2 linked regions of the Lonchura striata genome follow. The protein of the gene in region 2 interacts with the protein of the main gene of each other region in a pairwise test. Links are inferred from orthologs where the notes say so. Each region holds a gene or a part of one and is shown on either strand. Other genes may lie near its edges.

The links.
Region 1: the proteins of JADE1 (region 2) and YJU2 interact in a two-hybrid assay, tested with the Homo sapiens proteins (2 studies listed by BioGRID and IntAct). The two-hybrid records come from large-scale screens. The link is inferred for Lonchura striata from reciprocal best matches to the Homo sapiens genes JADE1 and YJU2.

Annotation. Positions count from the first base shown.
Region 1 is NC_134630.1:6,559,872-6,569,883, forward strand, and holds the start of YJU2 (splicing factor YJU2), read right to left. Parts: upstream 4,569-10,012; 5' UTR 4,501-4,568; coding exon 4,477-4,500; intron 3,800-4,476; coding exon 3,699-3,799; intron 2,936-3,698; coding exon 2,791-2,935; intron 2,121-2,790; coding exon 1,986-2,120; intron 1,795-1,985; coding exon 1,613-1,794; intron 1,196-1,612; coding exon 1,075-1,195; intron 34-1,074; coding exon 1-33. Other genes in the region: heterogeneous nuclear ribonucleoprotein M-like, read left to right, coding at 5,418-5,548, 7,577-7,746.
Region 2 is NC_134606.1:67,398,565-67,408,143, reverse strand, and holds the start of JADE1 (protein Jade-1), read left to right. Parts: upstream 1-5,028; 5' UTR 5,029-5,048; intron 5,049-5,589; exon of another isoform or gene 5,590-5,618; intron 5,619-9,579.

The DNA of each region.
Region 1 (10,012 bases), on a different chromosome or scaffold from region 2:
CGTCCTCGGCTTCTTGCTCTGGGGCTGGGGGTCCTGCAGGGCACAGCCAGGGTCAGGGGGCTCCAGCTTGGAGGGGACATGGGGGGGACTGGGGATAAAACCAGCAGGGACACGAGGAGAGGGGCCTGAGGGGGAGTTCTGCCCCTGCAGGGCTGGCACAGGCCGGACAAACAGGGATGTGGATCTGCAAAGCTGCCCCTGGAGATCCATGTCCCACTGCCAGAGGCCTTAGGATGGCCCTGGGGTGCTGAGGAGGCAGAGAAAACAATCCCAGCATGGTTTGGCTTGAAAGGACCTTAAAGCCCATCCAGTCCCACCTTTCACTATCCCAGATTACTCCAAGGCCTGTCCAACCTGACCTTGCACACTTCCAGCCACAACTTCTCTGGGCAATCTATTCCAAAGTCCCCTTAAATCCCATCCAACCCTCCCCTGCCATTCCAGACCATCCCCCCGTGTCCTATCCCTCCCTGCCTGGATAAAAGTTGTTTTCCCTCTGTTTTATCAGCTCCTTTCAAGGCCACTGAGCAGCCCTGGGGCTGCAGCAGCCCTGGCAGCGCCGGGTGCCCGCAGGTGGCCCAGCCATGGAACCCGAGTGCCCTGGGCACAGGGATTAGTGCCAGGCCAGGGACCACAGCTGGGATTAACCCAGCTTTGATCCAGCCCAGCAGACACGGGGCCCTGGGGCAGGGATTGACAGGGGCAGAGGGCAGGGCTGTTTGTTGGGATAATCCCTCCCTCCAGGCCGGGCTCTGGGAGCTCTTTTGTTCTGCCTGAATCCAAAGCACAGCCCAGGGAGAGGCCGGCCCAGCCTGAAGCAGCAGCAGCAGGGCCCAGCAGAGCTCGTTCTTGACGAGGAAAGGAGGATGGGATCAGCTCCATCCCTGCCTTTGTCACAGCCTGAAATCCCCAAGTGACCCCTGGCTGCTCTCAGCACAGGGACACGGCCTTTGGGAGCTGCTCAGGCGTGACACGAGCCCACTGTCACCCGGAGCAGGGACACAACGGGCACACACAGCTCCAGGACAGAGCTCTGGAGCTGGGGAAGGGCTGGGCAGGCTGTGCCTCTCTCACCTCCTGCAGGATGTCCGTGGGTTTCGTCTGGGCCGTGGGGTTGGGGCGGGGTTTCGCCGCTTCCTCGTCAGAGTCGGAATCCACCAGGAGCCGGCGGTTCTGGGCCTGTTCCAGCATGGCCCTGCTGGGACACAGGAGGGTTGGAGCTGGATCCATCCCACTGCCAGGCCCTGCTCGCTCCAGGGGAGCTGGGGCCAGCAGCAGAGCCTCGGGATCCCCCTTTCCAGGGGGTTCTCTGGGATCAGGTTCCATCCTGAGGGGTGGGAGCACTGGGGTTTGGAGCTTCACCCCAGAGCAGAAACTGGGTCCATGTGAGGGCCCTTCCCAGGGGAATGGACCCTCCCACAGCAGCCCAGATCCCACAGAATCCCAGCTTGGTTGGCTTGGAGGGACCTTCCACTCCTTCTCCCTGGACACTTTGCCAGGACAGGCTGGGATCTCCTCCCACCTCCCAAATCCTGGTAACTCAGCCTCCCTCTCTCAGCACAGCCCGGGCCCAGCCTGGCTCATCCCACTCGAGCTCCTCCAGCCCCCTCACTTCATCTCCTGCTCGTCCTCCTCCTGCTCCTTGCGCCTCTGCTCCTCCTCCAGCTCCTTGTACTGCTTCAGCATGGCTTCAAAATCCACGTTGGCCTGGCGCTGGTTGAGCTCCTTCAGCTCCTGCAGGTTCTCCAGGACCTCCATCTCCAGCTTGGAGTCCTTGGTTCGGTTCTCCAGGACCTGGGTGGGATAAGTTGGGATATTTGAGCTGACAGGAGCTTCCAACACCTCCCCATGCTGGATGAAGCACAAGAGGACCCTCCTCATCCTCATTTTTGGGTAGGACAGGAAAATCTGAATGGCTACAAAGTCACTGCTGCGGCTGGGGAGAGTCAGGCAGAGTGGGAGAGGTTTTCCTGCAGCGCTTGTACCTTCATGGGATTGTTGAGTTCCTCCTCTTCCCTCTCCTTCTGCATCCTCTTCTCCTCCTCCTCCAGGAGCTTCTCTGCCTGGAAATTCCTGGTGGCGCCGTGCTCCATGGTGTAATCCGTGTTCTCAGGGTCTGTCTGAGAGGGGAACAGCAGGAAAACCACAGTGGGTGGGGATCCTGCTCCAGCCTGTGGGAGTCCAGAGCTTCCCCCTGGCTGCCCTGGGAGCCTGGCAGGGGTCAGGAACCCCCCTGGACAGAGCCCCCAGAGACACTGGCTGTGATCTCTGCCCATGGAAAAGAGTTTTCAATCTTACAGGATGAATTACCAGCTCTGAGGGTTTGATATCAGTAATAATTAAGTGTGGCATGGGTGCAAAAGTAAAATTTTAGGATTCTAGATAAGGGGTCCAAAGGGGACAAGATGGAGGAAATTGGGTATACCTTGTCCTGATCTCCACCTCACCACCCTGGGGGGAAAAAAAAAACCTCCTGATCTCCACCCTGAGGCAAAAAAAAACTTCTCCTGATCTCCACCTCACCACCCTGAGGCAAAAAAACCCTTCTCTTTATCTCCACCCTGGGGGGAAAATACTTCTCCTGATCTCCACCTCACCACCCTGGGGGGAAAAAAAAAACCTTCTCCTGATCTTCACCCTGGGGGGACAAAACCTCCTGATCTCCACCCTGGGGGAACCAAACCTCCGGATCTCCACCCCAGCAGCCTGGCACAGCTCCAGCTGTTCCCAGGGCTCCACCCCAAGCTCCTGCAAGGCAGGGAGAGGCTGGAACTGTGGGGCCAGGCTGACCTTGAAGGTGATCTCTGCCAGGCAGCGCGTGCACTTGATGTAGAAGCGGAAGATGGGCAGCCCCAGGTAGGACTCGTTCTGCACCGTCTCCTTGCGGGCGTTGAACTTCTTGCCCTTGTAGATGTACTCCCCACACGTCTTGCACCTGGCCAAGGGCAGGGCAAAGGCCCAGGGCATGTCAGAAAAACAGGGAATGAGCACCAGCAGCAGCCCAGCTGGCTTCTTCTATCAGGTGGGTTTTGCTGCTGGAAATTTAGGGGGTGACCAAGCTCAAAATCGGGGAATCGTGGGTTGGTTTGGTTTGGTAGGGAGCTGAAATCCCACCCAGTGCCAGCCCTGCCATGGCAGGGACACCTCACAGTGTGCCAGGCTCCTCCAGCCCAGCCTTGGCACTGCCAGGGATGCAGGGGCAGCCACGGCTGCTCTGGGAGTTCTATCCCAGCCTCCAAGGCAGGAATTCCATCCCAAAATCCCAGCCATCCTTGTGGGACGCCATTCCCTGTGTCCTGTCTCTTGTCCCTGGTCTCTCTCCAGCCTTCCTGTGGGGTCCTGGAAGGAAACCACCCCTACCCAGCACCTCCTGCCCTCCCTCAGCCCCTCCCTTGCCCTGGAGGCACCAGAGGCAACATCTGCAGCCAACATCTGGCCCCCCCTAAGGAGATTCCTCCTTCCTTCAGCTGCCTCCAGGTGTTCCAGCCCAGTGGAGCGTCCCTGCCCATGGCACTGGGGGGCTTGGTGACCCCCAGCCCATCCTAGAAGTGACCCCACTGTTCCAGGAGTGACCCCACTGTTCCATGAGTGATCCCATTATTCCATGAGTGATCCCACGGTTCCATGCGTGACCCCATTATTCCAGGAGTGACCCCACAGCTCCAGGAGTGCCCCCGTGGCTCCAGAGCTGCTCTCACCTCATGTTGAAGGGGGCCATGAGCCTCACCACGTACTGCCGGTCCTTCGGGAGCTTCAGCTTCGGGATCTTGGCCGGATCGAAGTCCGGGGGGTAATATTTCTGTGGGGAGAGAAGATTTGGGAATTATGGGAATAGTTCTATGGGGAGAGAGAAGATTTGGGAATATTTCTATGGGGAGAGAAGATTTGGGAATTCTGGCAATATTTCTACAGCGAGAGAGCAGACTTGGGAATGTTTCTATGGAGAGAAGATTTGGGAATTCTGGGACTATTTCTATGGAGAGAGAAAAGTTTTGGGAATGTTTCTATGGAGAGTGAGCAAGTTTGGGAATTCTGGCAATATTTCTATGGAGAAGGAGAAGATTTAATAATGTTTCCATGGACCGAGAGCAGATTTGGGAATTCTGGAGCACCGGGAATCTTCTCACTCCGCACAGCTCCGGCAGGAGGCTGCAGCCAGGTAGGGCTCGGGAACAGCGACAGGATGAGAGGAAGCGGCCCCGGGGGAGGTTTAAATGGGAGGCTGGGAGAATTCCCTCACGGAAAGGCCTGTTAAAGCCTGGAACGATCTGCCCTGGAGCCTCCATCCCTGGAGGTGCCCAAGGACGGCCGGGACGGGCACTCGGTGCTCTGCGCTGGTGGCGAGGCGGGCACCGGGCACAGCCGAGACTGATCCCGGGAGCGACTCCTGAGCCAACGGGGACCGCCGCAGCGGCCTCGGGGAGCCCTCCCCTGGCGCAGCCCGGCCCCCTCGGCGGGGATGCCTCTCCGACTCACGTTGAGCACTTTCCGTTCCGACATCGCTGCGGCTTCTCCCGACCGCCGGTGCCGCCGGTGCCGCCGCCGCTGCCCCCGCGCCGCTTCCGGGCGTGGCCCCGCCCCCTCCGCCGCTCATTGGCGCAGCGAGCCGCTGCCTCCCCGTTCCTCGCGTGTTATTGGCTAATCGAGCTGTCTGTCAACAGAAGAGCCCACGGCGGTTGTACAACCCAGCCAAGAGTCCGCCGGAGAGCCGCGGCCTCACAGGGGGTTCCGCATCTTCTTGGCTCCTGGCTGTGCTCCGGCTCCGGCTGGGGAACGCCGGAGCTGCGACCCGGGGCTGGGAAAACTCGGCTTCCTCACAGCACCATGGGATGGGGCCCCGGCCTCCCCTATGTCCCAATGACACATATTCATAATGTAGATAAAAATCACCAAACAGTCTGTTTGTGCTTAAAGTGTCACTTTCTTTCTAAAAACTGAGGACTCGGAGTCATTTTGAGTTTGCAGCTGGTTTTATTCCGCTCACTCCACTGAGCACGCGCAGCCCGTGGCAGCCATGCTGTACGGCACCGCCGCACTACGCATGCGCCGTTGCTATTGCCGCCATTCCGTACGCACCTCCCACAGCCTGAGCCGCCAGCGCCGGCATTCCCAGGTGCCGCTGCCGCCAGCCCCGCCCGCACCTCGTGACCGCAGCCCTGCGCATTCTCAGACCCCCACTCCCCGCTGCTACCTGCCCTTCCCGCACGGCGCCGCCACACCGCGCCCGCGCGGACCCGCCATTACCGGCGGTGGCGCCTCACCGCGCATGCGCGGCGGCTCCCGCGCGGCTTCCCGCCACCCCACCCGCCGCTCCTTCTCCCGTGGCGCGCATGCGCGGCGCGGCGCCCCCTGGCGGCCCGGGCCGCGGCGCCGTCCCGTCGTGCCCCGCGCTCCCCACACAAAGGACGCGCTGGGAAATGGCGGCGGCCGCGGCCTCGCAGAGCGCCCCCGGCAAAATGGAGCCGCCCCCGGCGGCGGCCGCGGCGGCAGCGGCGGCTCCGCCAGCGCCCAACGGGGCGGCCGGCGCGGGGGGGCCGCCCCCCAAGAGGTAGGGGGGGGTCGTGAGGAGCTGCGCTGCCGGTGGGGCCGAAGGGCCGCGTGCGGCCTCCCCGCTGCGGGGCCCGGCCTGAGGGCAGCGGGGCGGACCGGGGCCGGCGAGGGGTCCCGCGAGGTGGACACCGCTGCGGGGCCTCTCCTGGCGCTGCGGCCGCTGCTCCCTCCGGGCACGCCTCGGGATCCCGGGCGGGACCGTTCCGAAGGCGCCTCCGGGGCACCCGCGGCGCTGCGGGCCGGGGCCCGGCGGGCGGGGAGCCCGGGGATCGCCACCATCCGTCCCCTCAGCAATCCCCTCAGCATCCCCGCTGCTCAGCTTTGCTGGAGTTTTGGTTTCCCCAGGGGGGATCAGGCTGTGCCAGTGGGGGGATGTGTAAGTTCATTACTTTTGTGCTGTCAGTAAACTTTGAACAGCTCCGTTGCTCTCAGCACCTCCCTCATCCTCCTGCGCGCTTTGGAGCCCGGCGTGCTCCTTTTTGGAGGTAATTTGAGCGTGAGGGGATTTAGGAGCGCAAACACCTCGAGGGTGAGAGTTTAAGGGGAGGGGCTGCACAATCCCGATGGCTGCTGTCGGGAAAACCTTAGAGAAATTTAAACCAGAATCGGCAGCGCTGCAGTTCCGGCTCTGTAAACGTGGGGATGAAGGGCGCAAAAAGCCTCAGCTGCTTCTCACTTCCTCATGTGTGTGCTCGATGAAAATTCCACAGTTGGCAAAGCCGGTTTTGGTACCAAATCCGCAGAATAGAAAGAACTTCTATCCCTCAGGGCGGTTTTGGCCTCATTTCATGGCGGGGTGATAAGAATCAGGTTAAACCTGGTGTGCTGTGATTCCTGTTGCAGACCCGAGCTTGGATTTGTGTTTCCCGAGCCCAGGAACAGTTTTCCGAGTGTCGCTTTAGGGGAAAAAGTTCCATTATTTTTTTTTTTTTCCATTGGAGAACAGTCAGACTGTGCTTTGAGCAGTAAAATCCGGACAGACACAATTTCATTGACTGTGCAGCTGGAGCCAGGCAGGGGCAGAGACATCCCTGGTCCCAGGGACAGGGAAGGGTGTTCCCACCCTGGATTCTGTTCCCACCACTCCTGGGAACATGGAAGCAGCAGTTTGTCTCCATGAGGAGCCTGTTCATTCGTGGAAGTATATTTAAATAAAGTTATCCTTCTGCTGTGGTTTTATTTTTCCTGACCTTGTTGCACTTGGGGTGCTTCCAGGGAATTTGTTTGTGTCTGCAGGTGCAGTTGTGTTTGGAATATCCAGCTCCACGTGGCAGAGCTCTCACTTCCACAGGGATAACACCAAAGTTCTCAGTGGCCTTGAGGAAATCCAGTTTAAGAGATAACAACTAAAATCAGAGTACAGCTTTTAACACAGCTACGTTTTATGTTACTTCACCAACCAAACAGAAATGAAAGTGGGAAAAGGATTGTCCTATTTCAAGTCTAATTTTGGAGTTTTAATTATTTCATTAATAAAGAAACTTTAAAATAAAATTCAGTGAGAGAAAGACTGGAAAATTCCCATTGCTTTGGCTGCTGGGTGATAGAAGCAGGGAACAGCCTCAAATATAAACCTTCAGAGGTTTCTGCATTCTTAATTTCCTTTTTCCCTGCAGGCTGTTGTGTCTGTTCAGGGATTGAAATGGTCCTGAAGGGATGGAGCTGGGATTTCTGACCTGGCGTTTGCAGGGCTGCACAGGTGCTAGGTTGGGAGAAGCTCAGGATTGTAGAAATTTCAGATTTATCTGATGTGTTCTGAATTCCTCCTCAAGATGTGTCGGTGCATCTTCTCCAGCAGCACTGATTGAGCAAGGAGATTAATTGGATTAGTGAAGGGAATTATGTAAGACTGAGCCCGAAACTTTTTTGTTCCCATGATTTGTTTTTTTCCTTTCAGGATGGTCTGGGCTTTTCCCTTCCCATCCAAACTGCTCTGGAGTTGAGAGATTCAGCTCTGCTTTTGTTCCAGCTGGAGGTGGTGGCACTGCTCCATCCCCAGCAGCTCACAGGGCTTCTCTCCTTGCAGCGAAGGCGAGCGCCCGACCCCGAATGAGAAGAAGAAGGAGAAGGGGATGAAGAGGGGAGGGAACCGCTTCGAGCCCTACACCAACCCCGCCAAGAGGTACCGAGCCTTCATCACCAACATCCCCTTCGACGTCAAGTGGCAGTCGCTGAAGGACCTGGTCAAAGAGAAAGGTAAAGTGCAGCTCAGGTGGAGAGGCTGTCCTGTGCTCCAGCCCGTGCCTGGCTCTGGCTGGAGCTCAGCACTTGCACCTCTGGGTGCGCTCGGCCACACGAGTTTGGAAAAGCTCTTCCCGAAGCCTTCTGGGTGTTGCACAACCTCTGTCCCTGGCAGCCTTCCAGGGGATGGTTCCTGTGGAGGCCTGTGGCACACAGCTGCTAGAGCCTCATCCCAGGATTAGCAGTGTTTTCCTTAGGGATCCAAGCCCAGGCTTTCAGCAGATTTTAGCCTTGAAGTGCAGCAGAACTTTTGAAGCATTTGAATGTTTTTTTTGGGCATTCAGGTGGTTATGTCCTGCTCTGGCGTGTGGATATCCAGCTGTGTCCCCAAATTTGGAGGGGTTTGGGCTGGCTTCAAGAGCCATTCTGCCATTGGTTGCAGTTCAGTGTATTTAAGGGTGACCTGCAAAATCAGGTTGGTGCTTTGGCATGTGCTGCAGCAGAATCAGGGCTTTGGAAATCAGATTTGTGGTGTTCCCACTTCCACAATTCCCTTTAATTCCTATGTGGATGGGAGCTGCCTTTGCTGACCTGAACATCTTCGTCTCTTGAGGAAGATGAAGAGATTGAGCTGAGTGCTCAGGTAGTGACAAGGCTAAATTAGTGTCATTTCTTCAGGCTGGTGCCCATCTTTCCAGTTTTCAAGTCACCTTGGAAGTGCAGTGGAGTGGCAAGAAAATCCTTGGCTTCTCCAGCCTTAAAATGTCTAAACCAAGTTCAGAGTAACAGCACAACATTTCCTGTGGGGCACTTCTGGATCCAGAGCATCAGCCAGGATAGTGGGCAGTGGTCATTGTGCTGGAGCTGGGCAAGGACTGGCAGTTCAGGCGTTTGAGGTGTGGCCTAAAGAAGGGGAAAACAAAGTTCCAGAGGGTTTCAATTGTTTGTCTTTGGAGGCAAAAGGGAATGAATCTGTGGAACAGACTGGGAGCTTCCCAAATTAGGGGCTGTTTGAGAGCCAGCAGTGGTTTTGTGCCATGGCAACAGTGTCAGCCTCAAGGGCTGCTTGAGCAGGCCCTGATGATGGACGGAGCCCTCACTGCCCCGTGGCTGCCCCAGATCCGTTGGTGTTCCGGGTGAGGAGATGTCCAGCTCTGTGCTGTGTTGAATCCCGTTCCCAGTGTCTGGTGGTTTCTCTCCAGTTCCCGTGGATGGCAGAGGCCAGGCTGAGATTGTTTCCTGCCGGGCTGTTCAGCTGCTCATTCCAGCAGATGCTCCTAGGGGAACGTTGGAGCCTTTTCCTTCTGGCTGCAGGGCTTGTCCTGCTCAAACTGGGATCATTCCTGGGGTTTGGCACTGCTGATGAACCCAACAGTTTGGACTTGCCGTGGAGTTGTTCTGGACTTCTCCCAAACTGCTGCTCTCGTGCTGTGCTCGGCCTTGCTCAGTCCTTGCCTCGAGGCAGAGCAGTTCCAAGCCCCAGGAAAACTCCGACCCGTTGGAATGCTTGCTTCGGAAGCGTAAGAACGCCAGGCCAAACGTCCCAGGCTCTGGGAGCAGGTGGAATTCTTGCCCAAGGGGAAACCCTGGGTGTGTGAGGGCTCTGCAGGGCTGGGCCCCGTGCAGAAGGGGCTGTAGCAGCAGCAGGAGCTCGGGGAGGTGCCGTGTGTGCAGCAGCTGCTGCTGTTCTGCAGCCTGGGAGCGGCCAGGCTGCTCCAGGTGCCACCTCTCTCTCTCTCCTCACGCCGTGGCTCGGGCATCCCAGTGGATTGGTTGGAGAAACTCAATTACAGGTATGCAGTGGGAATGTTGGTAATGGAATGAAGAGATGTTCTTGTTTGGAACTCCCTCGTTTTGCTGGCAGACACAAGGTGTTAGCTCACTGCAGAGTCCCCAGGATTTGGTCACAGTGTGGAGTTCTGGGGAGTCAGGGAGGGAGGGATGGGGAAGGAATGTGCTGTCCTGCCCTTGGCCTGTTCCCCCTTCCGTTTGCTGAAGTCTCTGATGAGTTGCTCTGTTTCCCTTGGGCATTCACCATCTTTCCAAGGAATCTCAGCCCTTCCCTGGCTGCAGGGAGCTTTTCACTCCCTCTGCTGCCTGAGCTCTTTAAGAGCCTAAATCACCACTTTGGGTGTTCTCTTGCAAAAGGGAAGTTTCCTTTCCCCATCTGTGACAGAACTGCTGACTGCTGTCTCTGCTTTGGGAAGGTTTTCCTTCTGCCTTTTCAGCCAAAGCTTTGCATGTGTAAAACTTGCTCCTCTTCTCTCCCCTCTTAACTTTT
Region 2 (9,579 bases):
TTTCACTATGTGATTTCTGCCTGCATAAACACAATTTAATGTTGAAGTTCATTTAGATTAGCTGTTGTAATGTTGCCTGATGAGCTGCCAGATAGACACGTGTAGATACTTCAGCCAAGATTTGATCTGCTGCTGCTAAATTCTCACTTGCCTGAGGTTTTCATAATCCTTAGGGCATTACCTCGGCTGCTAATTACTTCTCTCATCATGTACAAAATTGTGTTATTTCCCTTAAAGGTGATGCATCACCTTCATCCAGCTTAACTTGCAGACCTGCAAGTCTGTTTCCAGTGTTCCATTGAGCTTCTTGTTCTACTGGTTTCCTGTCAGCTTCTACTTTTCAATTACAACAGTTGGGAAGCACATGATTTCAGTACCTGTACTTTTAGATTTTGGAATGTAGTTAATTTTACCTATTGGGCATACCTGTCCCTGCTTCCTTTTTAGATGAATGCACACTGTCAGCAGTTGCATATTCATGCAATGATTGTGTCTAACTTGCAGAAACATTTTAAGATATCTATGTGCAAAATGTCATGGAGGTATACTTTGTACTGTGTTCTGTGCTGTGAACCAGGCCAAAGGGGAGGATATGGTTTAATCATTAGAAACCTTGGACTGAGAGGCATTACTTCAGGTTTCTATTCTTGGTTTTAATGCTGACTTAACATGTGACTTGTGTGAGTGATATAACCTTTACAGGCCCCTGTCTACCCACAGATAAAATTAGTGTTACAATCTCTACTTCTCAAGTTTTGTCATTAAAAAGAGTACACAGGTCTGTCTGTGCAAGCCCACTAAATAAAGAGTTCACCTCTGAGGATTCATTTTCATCCCTTTCTATCCTAATCCTTCACTGGCACAGCTTCTCCTTCCTGGGGCTCTGGCCCATACACCGAGTTAGAGATCTCTCATGACTTCATCTCAATAAGCCAAAGAAACTGTAAACCAGAAGAATGAGGGTTGTGAGCACAGGAGAAATCACATCTTTGGTGTATGGCTTATGAATAAACTAATCACTCTCACAAGCAATCCTGGCAGCTGTAAACCTCAGCTTCAGAGTCAAAGGGAATAATGACCTGCCTAATCCAGACACACCAAATTTTGGTAGTTGTGGATAATGAGAGGGACAAAAAAAACAGACCACCAATTAGTGGAGGGTTCTGTGCATAATTTTATGAAGCAGTTAGGTGCCACCATGCCATAAAAGATGTATTTGGGTTGGACAAAACTGTGACAACTGTGTTCCTCTATGGCTCATACAGGAACTGCGTTGAGTAAGTTTTATTTCTGCAGGATTTAAAAATATTGCATTTATGCAACTTGTAAGTGGTATAGATTTACATATGCATGAGTCAAAATCTTTTTTTCCCCTTGCTTGTGTGATTAGACCAGCTAGAGACAAAATGGACCTTGAAATGAATTGGCCCAACTATGCATCCATCTTACAGCTCTGCTCTATAAAATACCTGTCACAGGAGATATGAAAACTCTCTGGAAAATCCCACTCTTTAAGTACAATCTAGTGTTGACAGTGCTGATTTGGATCTGTACTGTTCTTCTCCTCAAGTTTCTAATTTTCAAAATAAAAAATAGAAAATAGAAGTTCCTGAAAGCTCGAGCCAAAAGAGCAAAAGAACAGTTTTGAATTTTAAGTGATACTCTTGGACTAAATTTAACAGTGAGGAGAAACTCAGCTTTGTTAGCTACACCTTCATGTATGAGGACTGTATCAATTAGCAGAAAATATTTCAATTGTTAAAGTATTATCAAAATAAAAAAAGGAAGAAGGAAGGAAATTAATTTTACTAGCCACTGCTACAGCAACAAATTTCCACAGAAGGGTGCTGAAAAGCTACATAGTCTTTCCTTGGATTTGTGTATCAGCTAAAATATTAACAATCCAAGAAGGAAATGTTAAGAAACTAATAAAACAATAAAGAATTAAAATAAAGTTTAATATATGAGTGAGTGTATCTGATGAAACAACTTACAGAAGGGATCAGAAGTTCTGTGTGCTAGCACAAAGCCTAACTCTAAGCTGGATACATGTTCTCTGAATGTTCCTGGAATAAATGATAATGCTGGTAGAAAGATAAGTGAGAGAGGCACAGAACCTTATGACATTATTTATTATAAGAAAGTGCCTGTTTTGCTGAGAGGGTAAATACCTATTAGAGACGAGGGGTGATCTTAGAACTCCTACTGACTCTACTTAAAGCAGAATTTTCCTCATCACCTTGATGTTTAGTCAGTGCAGGTAGCAGAAGACTACTCTCTCTTGTTTGACCATAGCTATGCTCGTATCCAACTTCATACCTGTAATGCTGAAGCAGTAACATTCCCTTTTTGTTTTCCAGACACTTCCAAAATTATTCTTCCAGCTCCTAGCCCTTTGATTTTTTAAATATTTCCTTTTAAAACATAGAAGTGTATTATTCCAGAGGAATCTCTGTGGATGCACTGTACTCAGAGACAAAATAGCATCTTTGTTCCAGTTGTGTTACCTTCTTGTAAAGACTGGGCTAGCTGCTTGTGGAGCACAGAGGACTCACATTTGGGGAGTTTTTCTATGGTAATGGAGATAGTTGGTACTTTTTAAAAACACAGCCCATAATTCATGGTACCATGAAAACATTAATGTTATCTTAAATGTGAAAACAATCATGTTATCTTAAATGTATGGCCTCATATGGCTTCCAAGAGAAATGTTTCCTAAAATACAATGTGTAATATAAACTTGGCTACATATGCAAAGGAAAACTAATTACAGGGAAACAAAAATATTGCCTCAAATCCAAGGAGCTTGAGACAGGAAAGTTTCTGTCATTCCTCTTGAGAAATTAGAGCCCATTCACATTTAAGCTCTTCTCAGAAGCTTGTTCTGAACTTCTTGGAAAGAATTCAGGAAAGTGGAACAAATAGCATTTATTGTGATTCTTCAGTCTTTTACAATGGACAATATTATTTAAAATTATTTAGAAGAAACATCATCATATTAACCCAGTAGAAGTGCATGCCTGTGTACAGTAATTGCCAATTGACAGTAGCTTTGCTAACCTTGATTGCTTTTTACGGATTTATGAGAAGCAGTCCCTGAACCCCTGAGGGGCCTGCAGACCACTGAGGGAATAAACTGCCCTGTTCTGTTCTGGGGTTTATACCATGGCACAGCAACAGGTTTAGGAAATACAGAACAACTAAGTCTCCAGTCAGTATTGAAAATTAACAGCCCTGGAAGTTCAGGGGTAAGGTGACAGGGGTGTGTCAGTAAGTTTATTATAATTATCAGTTACCGTGACGGGGTGTGTTGCATGGATCGTCATGGATGTTCCTAATTAAGCTGCTGATGTACAGAAAGCTATGCCAACAGGTATCTTTACAGATCTGGATGCCAAGGCAAGTGTAGGAAGAAAGTAGGGAATGCATGCCTTTCTGTATTTTCATGTAGTAGAAAACAAGGGAATCAAAGTCTTAGATTCAAAAATCTGAAGGTGCTTCAGGGTGTTCTGTGAATAAAATCACAACTGTCTGATTTTCACAGTGAAAGAATATCTCCAGGGGGGAGGATGTTTTTGTAGTAAAGCACAACTTTTTAGGATGTGCAGATTCAATGTAAGTACTGTTTCATTATTGGGTGGGTGGGTGAGACGGCAGAAGAAATGACTCGGTTTGCACGGATGAATAACGACCCAATTCCTCTGCTGAACTAAGGTGTGATTCTTTGGCAGACTGATGTTTCTGTGGAGGCTGCATTAATTTGTATTTGCATACTATGGGGATTACTTTACACAGATCGCCTTAATTCTGTGTCTGAGCTTATGCTGAATCTTCTCTGTGGTGTTTATTACCTCAGAATATATCTGCTCAGGAATTCTGCTCAAAAGGGGGAGTTCTTCACTCAGGGAGCACAGGTGTATGGCGTGAGGTAAAGCGATTTATGTGGAAAAATAAGGAAATCTGCATTCAAACACGCTTTTTAGGTAATGGGAAGTTTAGTATGTCATTTGGTGCCAATTTGAGATAATTTCCTCTCCTGCTAGAGAGATGTGAACTGAACCGCAGATTGTGTTGGCTCTTTCTAGTCTTTGAGAAGTATCAAAGTTAACGAGCCATAGGGATAACGCTGGGGGCTGAGAATAGGGAGCGTGCAGTTTTATTCTTGCCCCGGCAATTATGCGCTACGCATGTGGCCACAGCGTTTAACTCTTGGTACCCTCAGTTTCTCTGCTTGACAAATAGTGACTCACGCGTTCTGCACGGGGAGCCAGTGCATCGCTAGAATTCCTGCTTGCGAAATCGGTTTAAATCTTTTGGAGAGAAGAGTTAATGGTTGCAGGGTAAGGCCAGCAGTGCCGCGGGCGGGATGCGGGTGCAGACACGTATCATTTCCCAGCTGCCCAGCCGCGCGGCGTTGCCTCCCATCTGCGTTTCCCAGCCCGCTGGAACACGAGCGGGAGGCGGCGGGAGCCGGGCGGCCGCGCTCCCCCGGGGCTCCGGCGGCGAGGGGCGGCGGGAGCCCCGCGCGGTGCGGCCGGGCCCGCCAAGAGTTAACGGCGGCTCCCCCGGGGCCGCGCCGCCGCCTCCCCACCCCGGCGCTGCATTATTATTATTATTTCTCCCCCCTTCCCTCGCCTTCCAGTTTTGGCAGGGGATTAAAGCAGCTCCCCCCTGTGGCAGCAGTGACCCAGAAACGAGTTTGATTCACGGAGTCCTTCCTCCATAACAAGTACAAACGTCAGTCAGAGGGAATCTGTGTGTGTGTGTGAGAGTGTGTGTGTGTGTGGCGCAGCGAGCCGCGCTCCGTGCCCGCTGCCCGGCGCCGCGCCGAACTCATGCGGCGGCCCCGAGCCCTCCGCGCAGGGGGAGCCCGGCCGCGCCGCCCGCCCTCGTCGCCGCCGCGCCGCCGCCAGCAGGTAACCGTGCCCGCCGCAGCGCCAGCCGCGGAGCCGCCAGCACAGCCATATTTGATGGGGTTTTTTTGTCGCTCCGGAGGCGGCGGGAGAGCAGTTTCGTGCCGAAGGTCGCTGCCTAGTGGAAATAAGATAGTACGTCATTAACATGGCGCCAAGAGCCGCGCCGCTCGGTACGGGGCGAGGGGAGGCGGCCGAGTTGCGGCTCCGCTATCCCACAAGCAACTTGTGCGGGGCTGTGGCGGGCGGAGGCGGGAGGGGAGGCAGCGCTGCCGCCCGGCGCGACCTGCCGCTGCCGGCTCCCTTTTTGTTCCGCTGCGGGCGAGCGGGCAGCGCGCAGCTGCCCAGGTGCAGCGGCCAAGTGAGCCGCCGGTGTGCCGTGCCGTGCCGTGCCGGTCTGCGCCGTGCCGTGCCGTGCCGTGCCGTGCCGTGCCGTGCCCCCGGCCCTGCGCCCCAGGCGTCGCTGCAGGCTGCGCCGCGGGGGCAGCGCCTGGTATCGCCCGCCGCGGAAAGTAGGAAGCGTTGGAGCAACTTGGTAGCCAGATGGCAATGGCAGAGCGCAAGTCTTGCTCGGATACTGATGTGTAGGAAGGGGGTGGGGGAGAGTCATGGCCACTGTGTGTCACCGTGTTACCCAGATGCCCACGAGACCCGTCGCCTCTCGCCGCGGGCGGGGAGCGGTGTGCGTGGGAGAGGAGGTGTTCGGTATGCAGGAGCAGCTTTGTTTCCCTCCCTTTACCACCCCGCTTGCACTTCGATTTGGCTTGGGGCGGGGGGGGGGGGGGGGGCGTAAATGCTTGGAATGCATAAAAACTGCTCATCGGTGAAATTAAACAGAAGTTGCCTTTCGGAGCGGGAGAGCCGTAGCCGGTCTGCCTCCCGCTTGATGGGCGCCGGTGGGCGCTCTACTGGAGGCGCGGAGCGCCGAGCTGTCAGAGCTGGCTCTGTCCCCCCAGACGGGTGCGCGGTGTCTCCTGCTGGAGAACAACTTGCCCGAGCCCCGAAGTGCACGTGTTTGAGAGTGGGAAAAGGCGGGGAAATGCGTGCGGCCCCACCGGGGCGCGGGGCGGCATCGGGGCAGCGGCCGGCAGGTGCACGGCGACCCCGCCGCGCCGGCCCCCGCCCCGGCCGTGGGAGGTGGAGCGGCAACGGGCCGGGGGGCGCGCAGCGAACTTGGGCAGGACGTGGGGGGTCCGGCCCCCTCCCGCTGCTGCTGCCCGGCGCAGGCCGAGGGGCGAATCCGTGTGCTCGGGCCGGAGTTTGTGGGCGAGGGAGCGGAAAGGCGGCCGGCGGTGTTGGGGCGCGAACGGAACATCGCGGGGGGCGGCGGCGAACGCCCCAACTTGCTCGGGCGGCGGTCTGGGCAGCTCCGCGATTTGGCTCTTGCCCCCGTGCCTGGCGAGCGGGACGGAGCGGGGCTGCGGCACTGCTGTGTAACGGGCCGCTCTCCCTGGGGAGGTGAGTGCGGCTCCAGCCATCATTCCACTTGTTCCTCTTAGACAAAGCCACCCTGCCCAGCCCTGGGCACGCGTAGTCGCCAGCTCCCAGGAGAATTTTGGTGGTGTTTGTGTTTTTTTGTTTTTTTTTTTTTTGGGAGGGGGGCAGCCTGGAGGATGTTTGGTTGTTTTGGTTTTATTTGTAGAAATTTTTTTAATTTGCTTTTCCCTTCCCGTTCGCGCCCGCCCGTTCGTTCCCGATAGGATGAATTTGGGAAGGGTGGAGGCAAAGGGTGTTTGTTTGTTTGCACCGCCTGCTGGTTGGTTTCCTGTGACAAGAGGTGATAACACAGTTTCCAGAACTGTCTGGGAGTGGGAGGAGAGACGGACAGAGAAAATGAGCTCGTCTCCGAGCTGCCGCTCGATCCGCCGTCCCGTCCACCCCCTCGGTGGCAGCGTGGCCACGGGGGCGGGCGGGGAAGGTGCCGTGGCCGTTTTCGGCAGTGACAGCGCTTTGAGCGAGAGGCGGCGGAGCCGGGGGCACCAAGTTTGATTTGCAGCCGTGGCCGAGCGGATTGGTGCGACCGGCGGCGGGGAGGAGCGGGAGCCGGGAGGGAGGAGAAGGAGGGGGCCAGCCGGGCCGCTTCTCCTGGAAGGCGGCCGTGCAGCTGGCCGGGGAGGTGCCACCCCCGCGGGGGAGGTGTAGCCCGGCCAGGAGGCTGCTCCGTGACCGCAGCCGGCCGTGCCCTGGCGGCTCCGGGGTCGGCGCCGCTGCCGCGAACCCTGGGCGGGCGCGGTGCCGGGCCGGGGCCGAGATGGGATCGCTGCGGGAGGAGGAGGAGGAGAGCCGCCCTGAGCGGTGCCCGGCCGGGCTGGAGCCGGCTGTCGGCGTGAGTGCCGCGTTGGAAGCGACTCCCGAAGGCTCGGCTCCTCTCCTCCTGCGGGGAGTGGCCCCATCCCGCAGCCGTGGGCTCAGCGCACCTGCGAGCAGCGCCTGCCGCCGGCCAACTTCTCCTGCCGGCTCTCTCCGGCTGGTCCTCAGCTGCTCGCCTTATTCTGAGAAAGTTGATTAGGTTCACCGGCAGGTGAGAGTCGGGGCATCCTGAGATCTGTCACCTCCCTGCCCCTTCCCAGTAAAACAGGCCGTGGAAGTATTAGAAATTCCAGTAGGATTCAGCAGCACATCTTAGTTGATGTTTTTATGCCAGCCCCATTTTTTAGAGAAAGGTTTTAGCTGTTATTTTGAATAATTTCCTTTTTAAGCAGGTGCTGTCTTTTAACTAAGTCAGAAGCTGCCCACACTTGTAAACCTAAAACCTTCATTAAAGTTATGCCAAAATATGCTTGTTATGATTCTATTTCTAGATGTTTCTCACACTCAGTGGGATATTGTTGAAACAGCAAGAATTGTATGTTTTAGTGGCAGGATTTTCCCTCTGGCTTCAGATAGCACTTGCTCCCAGCTTTTGAGCTATGTTTAATACATATGTTTAAAATAAAATAATAATAATAAACTCCCCTTTCCTCTCACAGCTGCAGATTTCCCTTCCAGCTTCTCTGGTTTCATTCCCAATTCACAGAACCTAGTAAAAAAACCCTCAAACTTCCAGTGTTTCCTCAAATGATTTCTCCATGTGTTTAGTACTGCTGCTTCATGCTCCCATTTTCAACTGGAGATGGCCAAACTGGTACCATTTCCTAGGTGGAAGAGAGGAACTGCAGTGGGTGCAGGTTGAGTTGCAATAATTCTTGGAACGCAGTTCATGCATTGCTCGAGATTTTGGATGGTCCGTTTCACTCACTCCCACAGTTTGGGAATAATTTGCTGCCACTGTTCAGGTAGTAAGTTAATATTATGGGCTGGCTTGCACAGGTGCATAAATAAGCACGTGGATTCCTGAGAAGTGTTGGGTTGATATGGCCAAATTGTGCTTTTCTCTTATATTGATAAATTTTGGATAGGTGTGCTGAATTTGGTAGAAATATTCCCTGTGGAGAACACTGTTGGCCTTGTTTCATGACACTTGGAGGATTTTTTTCCTCCAGATTTAAGGTCTGTGACTCTTTGCACTGTGGATGGTGCTCCGTAATAGAATTTTAAGTAAATTTTAGTAATAGCTTATTTCTGATGTGCTTCCTTTTTTGTTTGTTTGTTTGTTTTAGGTCTAGGGTAGAAGCAAAAGAGCTTCTTGTGATGTCAGGTGTCAGTGAAGAAGGGGTGGTGTTATAAATAAGCTATTTAAAAAGAACCCAATAATAGAACCCAAATGTCTCCATCTTCTATTTTATTATACTGTGTCACACTTCGCTTCCATTTGTACAGTAGGTGTTCTGAAGCAATTTCTTGTGTACTAGAGATAATTAGGTCTTCGTTTCATTGCAGTTAGTGGGTTACTTTCAGGAAAAGCCAGTTTTTCAGTTTGTCTTCAGGGTGTACATCTGTCATAACTCTGCTTTCTTCCCATTCTGTCTCTGCAGCTGTTCAGTGCAGTTTGTTACAGTGACACCCGTTAACATGGTTACAGTTAATTGTCTGTCAGAGTTTGAATTATACACTCTTTTACCCAGGGGTTTATGCAGCCCTTGAAAATACTTCAGTAAGAATTGTGCTGTGGAAAACCTTTGACCTGAGGATGTAGATTTTCCCATGTATATTTTTTTTTACAATCTGGTTCTGTTTAGCTATATGCGTAACAAGGACTGACACACTTTACATCTTTCCCTTCGATTGCCTCTCTAGTTGAGGTCAAACTTAGTGAAGAACCATGTGGGGTTCTTAACTGTGTATGTGGCACATGGGGGTGTGTGTGTGCACGCTGTTGTCCCAGTTTCTTGGGGTAGTGTCTGGATTTCTGCCCTTTGTATTTTTTACACTCTTATCAGTGCAGCTCCTGGGACTTCAGCGTGGGAGAAAAAAGGAAAGGTCTTGACATCCATGTCCAGTGGGGTCTTTGGGTTTTGTTGGTAATTTATCTCTTGGAGAGGTAAGGATGGACTAGCATGGTAAAACGAACACTGCTAAAAATAATGATTTTGCTGTGCTGTGTCAAGTTGCTGAGTCTAACCCATTGCACTGCATCTGTCATCCAATACTTGGAAGTGGACAACAAAGTCTGTATGCCTGCCTGCATCTAGTTGTTTGTGTGGATTAAGATGTTTGTTGCTCAGCTCCACAAGGATATATAAATTCAAATGCTGTTGTGTGGCCTGACATTGATTATATTGGATTA